Linked DNA regions of Macaca mulatta. The protein of the gene in region 1 interacts with the protein of each later gene in a pairwise test. Links are inferred from orthologs where the notes say so. Each region holds a gene or a part of one and is shown in the gene's direction. Other genes may lie near its edges. The genes, in order: KLHL40, TASOR2 and SPMIP4.

What was found.
Region 2: the proteins of KLHL40 (region 1) and TASOR2 interact in binary tests that used the Homo sapiens proteins (3 or more experiments, as listed by UniProt). The two-hybrid records come from large-scale screens. The link is inferred for Macaca mulatta from reciprocal best matches to the Homo sapiens genes KLHL40 and TASOR2.
Region 3: the proteins of KLHL40 (region 1) and SPMIP4 interact in a two-hybrid assay, tested with the Homo sapiens proteins (2 studies listed by BioGRID and IntAct). The two-hybrid records come from large-scale screens. The link is inferred for Macaca mulatta from reciprocal best matches to the Homo sapiens genes KLHL40 and SPMIP4.

The regions. Positions count from the first base shown.
Region 1 is NC_133407.1:106,032,885-106,037,267, forward strand, and holds the start of KLHL40 (kelch-like protein 40), read left to right. Parts: upstream 1-1,541; 5' UTR 1,542-2,849; coding exon 2,850-4,001; intron 4,002-4,383. UniProt on the Homo sapiens protein: Substrate-specific adapter of a BCR (BTB-CUL3-RBX1) E3 ubiquitin ligase complex that acts as a key regulator of skeletal muscle development.
Region 2 is NC_133414.1:7,296,313-7,299,959, forward strand, and holds part of TASOR2 (protein TASOR 2), read left to right. Parts: intron 1-3,233; coding exon 3,234-3,647.
Region 3 is NC_133408.1:103,201,881-103,205,953, forward strand, and holds the start of SPMIP4 (sperm-associated microtubule inner protein 4), read left to right. Parts: upstream 1-1,181; 5' UTR 1,182-1,566; intron 1,567-2,196; 5' UTR 2,197-2,220; coding exon 2,221-2,354; intron 2,355-4,073. UniProt on the Homo sapiens protein: Microtubule inner protein (MIP) part of the dynein-decorated doublet microtubules (DMTs) in flagellum axoneme. May serve to reinforce and thus stabilize the microtubule structure in the sperm flagella.

The DNA.
Region 1 (4,383 bases):
CCTACCCTAACCTCTCCCCTTACCTCCTCCTACTCACCTCCTTATTCACTGCTGCAGCCCTATTGGCCTCTATGCTGTTCTGGGAACGTGCCAGGCACTGTCTTGCCTCAGGACCTTTGCTCCAGCTGTTCCCCTACCGGGAATCCTCCACAGTTTGACCCCTCTCACATGTGATCCTCTCGGTGAGTCCATCCTGACTACTCCATTTAAAATCGTTATCACCTCCTCCTGCCACTTCCCATGCGCCTTCCGTTTCACTTGTCTCCACAGCCACGACTATCATCTGATGCCCCGTATAACTGTTTATTTATTTCTGTCTCCCCTACCAACCTTGCCCCGACCCCCTGACGAATGTAAGCTCCATGAAGACACGAATTCCTGCCTGATTTGCTCACTGCTGACTCTTCAGCATTTAAAGCAGTGTACGGTTGGTTCTTGAATGAATGAGCCACATACACATGTTCTACTGGAATGCCTGGTAGGGAGTGAGCACTATGGAATCCATCATAGTCTAAAAATATTTCATTAAGTCATTTGATAAATCTAAGTTAATTGTTCAGTCAGTGTCTTCTGTCCTGATCTTTGAAAATGAGACTACAATTGATGAACATTTTTGTTAATTCTTGGGAGGCAGCAAGGTAGGAAAGGGTTCCCACAGTCTTTGGAGGAGGGCAGATCAGCTTCAAATCCTAGTGCAGCCCATGTCCGCTGTGTGACTTGGCCAAGGTGCCTAGCCTCTCAAGCCTGGTCTCCTCACTGCCTGTGCTTGCTAGCAATGCCCTGCAGTCCAGGGCTGGGCTGGAATCTCACCACCTGCCCTCCCTGAGTGAGCCTTTGCCTTTTTATCAAGAGGGACTGGACCACCTCCAGAGCTTGCCCAGGTGCTGTGTCCCTCTGAGACCTGCTGGTGGGGTGAGCAAGTGACAGTCAGATGCACCGTTTAAGAGGGACAGAGGCTGGGTGCAGTGGCTCACACCTGTAATCCCAGCACTTTGGGAGGCCGAGGCGGGAGGATCACCTGAGGTCGGAATTTCGAGACCAGCCTGGACAACATGGTGAAACCCCGTCTATACAAAAAATGCAAAAAAATAGAAATAAAAATAAAAAATTAGCCGGGAGTGGTGGTGGGTACCTCTATCTAATACCAGCTACTAGGAAGACTCAGGCAGGAGAATTGCTTGAACCCCAGAGGCGGAGGTTGCAGTGAGCTGAGATCGCGCCATTGCACTCCAGCCTGGGCAACAAGAGCAAAATTCCGTCTAAAAAAAAAGGACTGAGAGTGATATTGCTGAGATCACAAAAGGGAGGTGACTCAGTCCTAGCCCAGCCTGCTGTCATCTCTCCTATACCCACCCCCCTCCCCCACTCCCCCGCCTGACGTTATAAACAAGTGACTCAGAGGAATGATGGGGGTGTGCCTCGTAACAGTTCATCCCAGTGTCCTGGGGGCTAAATTTAACACACAGCTGCAGCCTCTGGCACTTTGGGAACAAGTTAATCTTGGTGACTGAGGCTGATGTGTATGTGCGAGCGCATGTGTCTGGCAGTGGGGCGGGGTGGGGAGGGTGTGGGGAGGTGGGTCAGGAGTCCTGAACAAGGTAGGCATCAAGACTGACTGTCCTGGGCTTCAACCCTGGTCCCTCAGACCATAGACAAGGTGCAGGGGCCCCGTGGCCAGGCAGGCTCAGGTCTAGCCTAATATGCACCAAGAATAGTGAGTATAGACAGCTAAAGTCCTGAAATATTAAACCTGTAGTGTTACTTTTTGAACACTAGAATTCAGAATGTCACTCCCCTACAATGTTAAAACCCTGGGGGTTTAAAAACCTAGAATAGTAGAATCCTAAGAAATTAATTTTCTAGCACATCTGACACCTTAGAAGTGTTAAAACCCTCTAATAGTGTACTTCCAGGACACAGTACCTTGGTGCTTCTGAACCTCCAGCAGAGCTGAACTGAGGCCCTTAGTATCTAACTTTGCCACCTCCTCATTGTGTAGGAAGGGAAACTGAGGCTTAACAGAGCGACATGTCCTGTCCCAGGCCTCATAGGAAAGTGGCAACCTTGTTTACCTAAGGTACTTTCTTGCTTTCTTGCAAGGAGGAGGGGCAGAAAGAGGAAAAGCTCTTCCCATTTTAAAGGTGAGGCAATGCGGGGTGGGGGGTGTCTTATGTATGTAATCTCAGCTACTAGGGAGGCTGAGGCAGAAGGATGGCTTGAGCCCAGGAGTTCAAGACCAGCCTGGGCAATATAGTGAGACCTTGCCTCTTAAAATAAAGGCAGGGCAACAGGGCTGCCAAAAAGTGAACACCATGTCCAAGTTCTGACCAGAAAACCCAAGGACCCTGTATCCGGGGATGGCTGGAATGAGACATATTCCGAGGAGGAAGATGGAGGCACCAGGACAGATGTTCCCAGAAAGCATGAAGGAAGGGAGACCCTGGAAGAGGGGCTCCAATGCTTCCCCGTCTCTGGACTGAGGGTCAGAACTTAGGCCATCAACTCTCCTAGGGGCATCTTCGGACCAAAAAATCCAGAGTCAAGGCCTCTCCGTGCTCCATTTAGAAATGAGGCAGCCAGGCCCTCATCTTTCAGAAGGGCCCAGACACCCTACCTCCGTCCCATAAGCCCCTGGGGCTGAGTCAAGGCTTCTCCGGGAGGGGGCCTCTGCCCAGCTGTCCCCTGTGCGTCATGTGCAGGAGGCCAGGCGGCTCGCCTTACAGGGACCCGGCCACCTCTATATATAGCCCCTAGAAGACAGCTGCGCAGTCTAAGCAAGCCGCAGCAGGAAAGCAGGGGTACAGAGAGGAGCCCCCTTGGCACCGCCACCACACCCTAGGCCACCCATCATGGCGCTGGGCTTGGAGCAGGCGGAGGAGCAGCGGTTGTACCAGCAGACGCTGCTGCAAGACGGTCTCAAGGACATGCTGGACCATGGCAAGTTCCTCGACTGTGTGGTGCGGGCGGGCGAGCGCGAGTTCCCGTGCCATCGCCTGGTGCTGGCCGCCTGCAGCCCCTACTTCCGGGCGCGCTTCCTAGCCGAGCCGGAGCGCGCGGGCGAGCTGCACCTGGAGGAGGTGTCCCCAGACGTGGTGGCCCAGGTGCTGCACTACCTGTACACGTCAGAGATCGCGCTGGACGAGGCGAGCGTGCAGGATTTGTTCGCCGCGGCGCACCGCTTCCAGATCCCTTCCATCTTCACCATCTGCGTGTCCTTCCTGCAGAAGCGCCTGTGCCTCTCCAACTGCCTGGCCGTCTTCCGTCTTGGCCTCCTGCTCGACTGCGCGCGTCTCGCCGTGGCTGCCCGAGACTTCATCTGCGCTCACTTCTCGCTGGTGGCGCGCGACGCTGACTTCCTCGGACTCTCGGCCGATGAGCTCATCGCCATCATCTCTAGTGACGGCCTTAACGTGGAGAAGGAGGAGGCGGTGTTCGAGGCCGTGATGCGGTGGGCTGGCAGCGGCGACGCCGAGGCGCAGGCTGAGCGCCAGCGCGCGCTGCCCACCGTCTTCGAGAGCGTGCGCTGCCGCTTGCTGCCGCGCGCCTTTCTAGAGAGCCGCGTGGAGCGCCACCCTCTCGTGCGTGCCCAGCCCGAGTTGCTGCGCAAGGTGCAGATGGTGAAGGATGCACACGAGGGCCGCATCACCACGCTGCGGAAGAAAAAGAAGGGCAAAGACGCAGCCGGGGTCAAGGAGGCTGATAAGGGCACAGGCGAAGCCAAAGCAGAGGAGGATGAGGAGGCCGAACGTATCCTTCCTGGGATCCTCAATGACACCCTGCGCTTCGGCATGTTCCTGCAGGACCTCATCTTTATGATCAGTGAGGAGGGCGCTGTGGCCTACGATCCAGCAGCCAACGAGTGCTACTGTGCCTCCCTCTCCAACCAGGTCCCCAAGAACCACGTCAGCCTGGTTACCAAGGAGAACCAGGTCTTTGTGGCTGGAGGCCTCTTCTACAACGAAGACAACAAAGAAGACCCCATGAGCGCATACTTCCTGCAGGTGCCTGACCAGCCTTGGGAGCTGCCAGCTAATGCTGGGCTCTGGGCACTGGGGGCAGTCTTGGGGCCCAGGAGGGGCTTGTGTCTACACAAGGAAATGCCACTGGGTCTAGGGTGAGATGTAGACTGGGGCGGTTGACTGATAGCCACCTGCTTGAAGGTTGAAGACAGTCAATAGGCAACTGCCAAAAAGCAGCATAACTCTGGTATCTCAATTTCAGGGGTGAGGTAGCCCCAAGTTGGCGTATGTTGGAGGCCCTGGCCCTGCACAGAGGTTGGGGTGGGGCACAGTGAGGAGGAGCAAGGTCTGTGTAAGGATCCTGGGCAGGGCCTCTTGGTGAAGGCCAGGCCTGGAGCTCGCAGCAGTGTCCCAGACAAAGGAA
Region 2 (3,647 bases), on another chromosome or scaffold:
CTCCAGCCTGGGCAATAGCGTGAGACTCCGTCTCAAAAAAAAAAAAAAAAAAAAAGAGAGAGACAGGGTTTCACCATGTTGCCTAGGCTGGTCTTGAACTCCTGAGCTCAAGTGATCTGCCTGCCTCCGCCTCCGAAAGTGTTAGGATTACAGGCATGAGCTACCATGCCCAGCTGAGAATCCTATATTTGGTTTTAAAAGGCATTAATTTTAAAAGTAGTTTTACTGATTTAACTTTGCTTAAGTGAAGAATCAAGTTTAGTCACATGAACTGCTCTAGTTTTGTATTTTCAACCTCTGTACATAACGTCTGTACTAGAAAGTTTTGTTGTCACCTTAGTGAGACACATACCAGCTTTCCTCCCGGATTTACTTTCCTTAATTTTTCTTCCCTTTGGTATTGATTCGTTTGTGGTGTGCGTGTTATTTTTTTGTTTTGTTTAACAAAGAGACGTCATTCCCTCATATCTTTTCTATGAGTTTTCTGTCTGGTTTTCCTGATTCTACTTTCTCCCTCATCTGTTACTAGATTTTAGTATCTCACAGAGAATGAGAATTCAGAGAAAGAAAGTGGATTGTTGAGTTTTTTGGTTTTTTTTTTGAAATGAAATCTTGCTCTGTCGCCAGGCTGGAGCGCAGTGGCACAATCTCTGCTCACTGCAACCTCTGCCCCCGGGTTCAAGGAATTCTCCTGCCTCAGCCTCCCTAGTAGCTGGGACTACAGGTGCATGCCACCACACCTGGCTAATTTTTGTATTCTTAGTAGAGATGGGGTTTCATCATTTTAGCCAGGATAGTCTCGACCTTTTGACCTCATGATCTGCCTGCCTTGGCCTCCCAAAGTGCTGGGATTACAGGTGTGAGCCACTGCATCCAGCCAGGTTTGTTTTGTTTGTTTGTTTAACTTAAGCATACCCTGAGATTCTTTAAGGTTTTTCAGATTGTTTTGTGACTGAAGATTTTTTTAGAAGCTCATCATGTCATTCAAAAACCCATATGCTGCAATTTTGGCTTCCATACCAAATTTGAGCTCTTCTGCTTGTCTCTCTTGGGAGTTTATGGTGCGGCTGCACCCCACCTCTCTGTGTTGCGCCCCTGCTGTTGCCACCATGCTTCTTCCCCTGTGGGCCATATGTGCCTCCCCCACGCATGCTTTGCCCGTCAGGGGCTCACAGCTAGAATTTATCCCCACAGGGAGGCATTTTCTCATGTTCTGACTCTCACTAATCTCTCATTTCTTTGGGATATTTGAGAACATTATATAATTTAATTCATACTATTTTCAAGTCATTTGACGTATCTTGGTCCAGTCTTTCCAATTTGTAAACATTATGAGAATAGATAACATCTTGTGTTCCTAGCAGCGTCATTTGAATTCGTTGTACTGAATTGGCTTCAGATGTTTATTGACAAATTGATTAATGGGAGGAGGTATGTAATTGCATACTGGCAGAAAAGTGAGCCCAGAAAATTTAAAGTTTTCAAAATATGTGTTCAAATACAGGCTGATTTGTATTGCAAATGTCTCTATGTATTATGGAGCCACATTCCAAGTTAACATTTTTAAATGACTACGTTTAAATCTCTTAATTTTTTTCTTAAGCGCCTATGTTAATCATTTTACTTCCTATACTTGAAATATCAAAGTTTAAGAAGGTAGATGAACCATAGCCACATTGACCTCAGTTTGAAAATTACTGATTTAAATTAGAATCAAATGATAATTTTGAAGTCAAACAAACAGTCCTTTTGTTAATGAAACTTGATTTTCTGTCCTTTTTATTCACTAAACTTTTTTTTAGTGTAGTTCCTTTGGCATTGTCTTATGTATGTCTTAAATAGAAATTATTGGTGGTGTATTTTTTTTATTGAGAACCTGTAACACGTCAATAATTGGGTGATTTATGTGAGACTGTAATATATTAAACTACCATTTTTCTTTATTTTAATACAGTATCTTTTATATTAGGCCTTACTCATAAGTAGTGGTTTGTGTAAGGGATAAGTAGATGGAGGCCATAATAACAAAGATAGAATGAAATTAGCATCAGATCACAAAATTAATTTTATGTTTCCAGTATACCTTTGGGGCTAACAAGACAATTATCTGCTTTGGGTCCTTTTCATCCACCTGTCCCCTTTGGGTTTGCTGTTTTAAATGAAAACTGGGCAGTGGTTGATTAGCTTAACCCTTTCCCCATGTATGTGCATGCCTTTCTCTTTCTAATTGGTGACATCATAGGCTGGAGCTTTCTTCTCTTTAAATGTGTTACTCATTGGCCTTGGCTGGCAGGTTGTTAACTCATTTTGGGCCTGCTACTATGATAAAGAGGAACACAGTTGGCTTTTCTGTTCACCTATCTACCTGCAGCAGAGAATCATTGCCTAGTAGAGTTGTGAAGTTTATCCTTCATAATAACAGCATTTAGGAAGGAATAATTAATATATTGAAAATACCTAGGGAAACCACTAGCAAATGTAAATATTCTGATTAAGGGCATATGGATAGATTTGATTATCTATAAAAAGGAACATTGTCAGTAGATTTGCTCTTTCTTGGATAATGTAAGAGGCAATGTTTTTGGTAATGAAAGTAAAAGTTTAAAAGGTAATGGAATTAATTGATGATTCTGAATACTCATGACTTTTCTAATTTTTTATTTCTATCACATCATGTAATTAAAGATCAATGTAGTTAAAATCATTTGAACTTAGTTTCTCTAATAAATCATTTGTTCAGGGAAATGATTCCTGAGAAAGTATGTTAGCAAACTCTAATACACACTTGAAACTTCTATGTTCCTGTCCTTAATTAGATTGTAAGCTCCCCAAGGGCAGGACTGTCATCTTTTTTTTGTTTTGTTTTTTTCTGTTTGTACATTTTTTGAGCTGAGCTGTATGTCTTGTGTGTAGATCAGTTCATATGTTTTTGAAAGGTAATTTCTTTCTAAATTAATGTACACATTCCTTAAGACTTGTCCCTCTGGTTTAACACATTATAATCTGAGGGTTGAAAGAGACCTTAATCTAACAGAAAATTTTAATATGCTGTGTATTACAGGTTTTACCTGAGGGTTGGAAGAGACCTTAATCTAATAGAAAATTTTAATATGCAATATATGTAACATAAGTTTTTCTCAAACATGTTGAGTTAACCATCATAGTAATATGGCAGAGAATTAATTCTATAACAAGCAAACATATCTCTCTTTTTTTTTTCTTTTATACTGAAGTCAAAGGAGAAACTGCTTCAAAGCTTCAATCAGAAATTTCAAGAGATGGTCAAGAAGATGGGATTAGCATAAATAGCGTTCAACCAGAAAATAGCACAGTGGCTCACAATGATCTTCCTGAAAACTCCATTGTCAACTATGACTCCCAGGCCCTAAATATGTTGGCCGATCTAGCATTAAGCTCTGCTACTTCTTCCACACCGGTACCTGAGCCTAGAAATCTTCACTGTTCCTCTGAATTGCCACAAAATGATGTTTTGCTCTCTAAAGAAAATTCTTTGCGAGGTACATCTGACCATGAATATCACAGAGGAGTTAAAAGTCAAAAAGGTGAATTACTTCCTAACCCATCTTCTGATAGGAAGAGTAATTCTGAGTCAGACTTAATTGTTAGCCAAGATGAAGAAAGCTTGG
Region 3 (4,073 bases), on another chromosome or scaffold:
ATTTCAGCATTTCAGCAATTTGTTTATTTTATCTGCCATCCTGTAAACTCAAGAATTTCTATGACTGTTTTCTTTAACTCTTTGGCACACAGTTTCAACACCCTTCTTCTCAGAGGTTGTCATTCTCACCCTCACCTTCTGGTTCTTGCAGGCTCAGTTCTAGCCTCCCACATTGTATTAGTTTTTTCTCACAATGCTATAAAGAACTGCCCAAGACTGGGTAATTTATAAAGGAAAGAGGTTTAGTTGACTCACAATCTCACGTGACTGGGGAGGCCTCAGGAAACTTACAATCATGGCAGAAGGCCAAGGAGAAGCAGTCACCTTCTTCACAAGGCGGCAGAAAGGAGAAGTGCTAAGAGAAGGGGAAAGAGCACCTTATAAAACCATCAGATCTCGTGAGAATTCACTCACTATTGCGAGAACAACATGGGGGAAGCTGCCCCCATGATCCAATTACTTCCACCTGGTCTCTCCTTTGACATGCGGGGATTATGGGGATTACAATTCAAGATGAGATTTGGGTAGGGACACAAAGCCTTACCATATCACACATATCATACATAGAGCCTAACCTCCCCACATCCCATTCCTTGATGGGGTGTGGGGGGCAAGTGGGGAGGGGGGTGACATCCCTGTTCTCAGCCATCACAGGAAGTCATGACCCTGTAGGTGCAGAGACGTGGCTCACATTTGTATCTTTTGGGGAAAACTGAGATAATCAAGGTGGGGCTAGGGTCTGGGGACGAGGCAAGTAAAGGACTTTGCCACGTCCGCACCCACCAGGCAAGGAGCAGAGGCTCTGTTAGGGCGCCATGCCAGGGGCTGCAGTTTCAAAATCCTGCAGACTCCACCCTCGATCTGGCCGCACTGTCCTCAATCCTGCGAGGTGACCTGGGGAGGGAGGACAGGTCGCATGCTCCGACCTCACCGGGGACTCCACTGGACCGGAGTTCTTCCTCCGCCCAGTCCACATGAGAACACTCCGTGGCCGCCGGGAGACAGCTTCAGACCTGGAAGCCCTGGAAAAATAAACTGATATCGCCATCGCCGCTGCCGCTAGAGGGCGCCTGGGGGCGAGGCGCGGGTGGGGCCAGGCGGTGTCCTACAGGAGGCAGGGCGGCGAGCCGAGAGGGGCGGGGCAAGGGACCGGGAGGCGGGGCCAGCGGCCGCAAGGCGGAAGAGACCCTCTCACCTCCGACACCGCGCCTCTCGCTGTCTTCACTGTCAGTACCTCTTCGCGTTCTTGCCAGTGCCGCATCGCTGGGCTGGCTGCCTCCGAGGTCTCTAAGAGCCGCCTACCGCGCCCCGCCCGCCACCCGGCAGCCCCCAGCCCCTCAAGGACGCATCACTTAGTGCCGCGGTCACGGCTACCGTCACAAGCGCCCCCCAGCCCCACCCTACCCCGGCCTGCCCGCCGTCCTTCTCCCGCCCCCGCCCCTGCCTGCCAGCTCCACCGGGCCGCAGGTGCGGACGACCTCAAAATTCCTCGGCCCGCGAAGGCCGCCAGCTGCAGGGAGCAGAGGGGAGGCGCGGTCCCGCAGCGCCCCCAGACTCATGTCCCAGGTGTGTCCAGACCCCCGAGGCACCGCTCGCAGGGCGATGACAGCCCGCGAGGCTCGGCCTCGGCCCCCGGCACCCTTGGTCCCAGCTACGCCGCCTCCTGGCCTTCCCCCAAGTCCGAGGGAGAGGTGGGATTCTCCCCGACGCAGTGGAAACCTGGAATCCCTTTTAGGGTCCCGTTCGTGCTGCACCCTTGACTCCACCATCTGCAAACGGATTCTTGTCCGGAATCCCCGAAGCCTTTAGGACAGCTCTTATTCTCTTGAATGAAGAGTCTCTAATTTTCGGAAAGACCACAGGCTAAAAGTCAACTGAGTTTTCTTGAATAGTTATAGTTAAATTTGAGGCAGGAATTGAATTTCAGTTGATAGCCACAAAGCGGACTGGTACGAACCTACTGGATGGTCATTGTGGTGACTACTTGGAGGCACCTTCCACTTTGTGGATTTGTTTCAGTTGAAATTCATTTCCATAGAACTTATTTAGGTCTTTATTACTGATTTGACCGCTTTCAGTGCAGAGGGAAGCCTGTGATTTCTGTGCAGCGTCAGGTTGAACAATTTAACAGTGTAAAATGTGTTTTCTGCCTGCCTTGAGTGGACAAGCCAAATGTCCCCTCCTTTACTTTTCCAGGTTGTGCCTTTTTAGCCAAGAAGCATGGAGGTCATTCACGGCAGGCCCTACTGTTGCAGGGAGCTTGAAGGAGCTGACATACTGTCCAACACCTTTTACTCTAATGAATTGCACACCCCCCTCCAAACGACTACTCGCCCAACTGCCTCAGAGGACAGGTAAAACAAAAACTAGAAAAAGCAAAAAAGAAAAAGCAGTTTTAATGTATTAGTGTATTTTATTATGTGATGAAAAACATGTATTGTTCTGGGGCTCTTCTGTTTTTTGTTTGTTTGATTTTGAGACGGAGTCTCACTCTTGTCACTCAGGCTGGAGTGCAGTGGTGTGATCTCGACTCACCCGGACCTCCGCCTCCCAGGTTGAAGTGATTCTCCTGCCTCACCTTCCAGCGTATCTGGGATTACAGGCATGCTCCACCATGCCCAGCTAATTTTTTTGCATTTCTAGTAGAGACAGGGTTTCACTATGTTGGCCAGGCTGGTCTCAAACTCCTGACCTCAAATGATCCACCCACCTCGGCCGCCCAAAGTGCTGGGATTACAGGCGTGACCACTGCACCGGGCTGGGGCTCTTCTGCTTATCATATCACAGGGAAGGCAAAACGTGGCAATTAACTGAACCGTCAAGTGTCTGTAAGGAACTCGAGAAGTAAGTGGCTGTGTACTATAAAAGCCAGACATCATATTCATCCACTACATTCTAAAATCGTAGAATGGCCCGTTCCTTCATTGGGAAATTAATATGTGGTAATCAAAGACTATTATAAAGAGTACTGTATTGGTTCCCTAACATGCCCTTCTACTGTCTAGAATTTGCTGCTTATAGTTGTGTAAATTTTTGCTTCACCAAATTCCCTGTAGCACATTAATTACACATTATGATTTAATTTATGAAAAGCAGTTTGGTGATTTCTCCAAGAACTCAAAACAGAGTTACCATTTGACCCAGCAATCCCATTATTGGATTCTAAGTTGTTCTTATACGTTGTTCTATCAAAGGAATATAAGTTGTTCTAACATAAAGACACAGGTATGTTCATCACAGCACTATTCACAATAGCAAAGATATGGAATCAGCCTAAATGCCCATCAATGGTTGACTGGATAAAGAAAATGTGGTACATATACACCATGGAATACTATGCAGCCATAAAAAATGAGATCATGTCCTTTGCAGCAACATGGATGGAGCTGGAGGCCGTTATTCTAAAGCAAACTAACACAGTAACAGAAAACCAAATGTCACCTATTCTCACTTATAAGTGGGAGCTAAACATTGAGTACACATGGAGACAAAGAAGGGAACCACAGACACCAAGGCCTACTTGAGGGTAGAGAGAGGGAGGAAGGCGAGGACCAGAAAACTACCTCTTGGGTACTGTGCTTATCACCTGGGTGACAAAATAATTTGTACACCCAACCACTGCAACGTGCAATTTACCCGTATAACAAACCTGCATATGTACCCCTGAACCTAGAAAAAAAGTTTTAAAAAAAAATTACAATGAAAAATATTGCACCTAACATATCTAATGATTACTATGTGTCAGCACTCTACCAAATGCTTTGTATGTAGTAATTCGTTTAATCCTCATGACAACCCTATGAGATAAGTACTACTGTTATCTGCATTTTACATATGAAATAACAGATACACACAAGGAGTTTGCCAAGATCTTAGTGTCAGCATTTCCTCTATTGTATTTACTTGAATCATTTTAAGGAAAGGAAAAGAAAAAAACACCTCAAAACACCTGGACAATGAAAAAATGACTGGTTGTCTGCTTGTTTTGTGGAGTTCTTTTCTTTCTTTTTTTTTTTTTTTTTTAGACGGAGTCTCGCTGTCACCAGGCTGGAGTGCAGTGGCACAATCTCGGC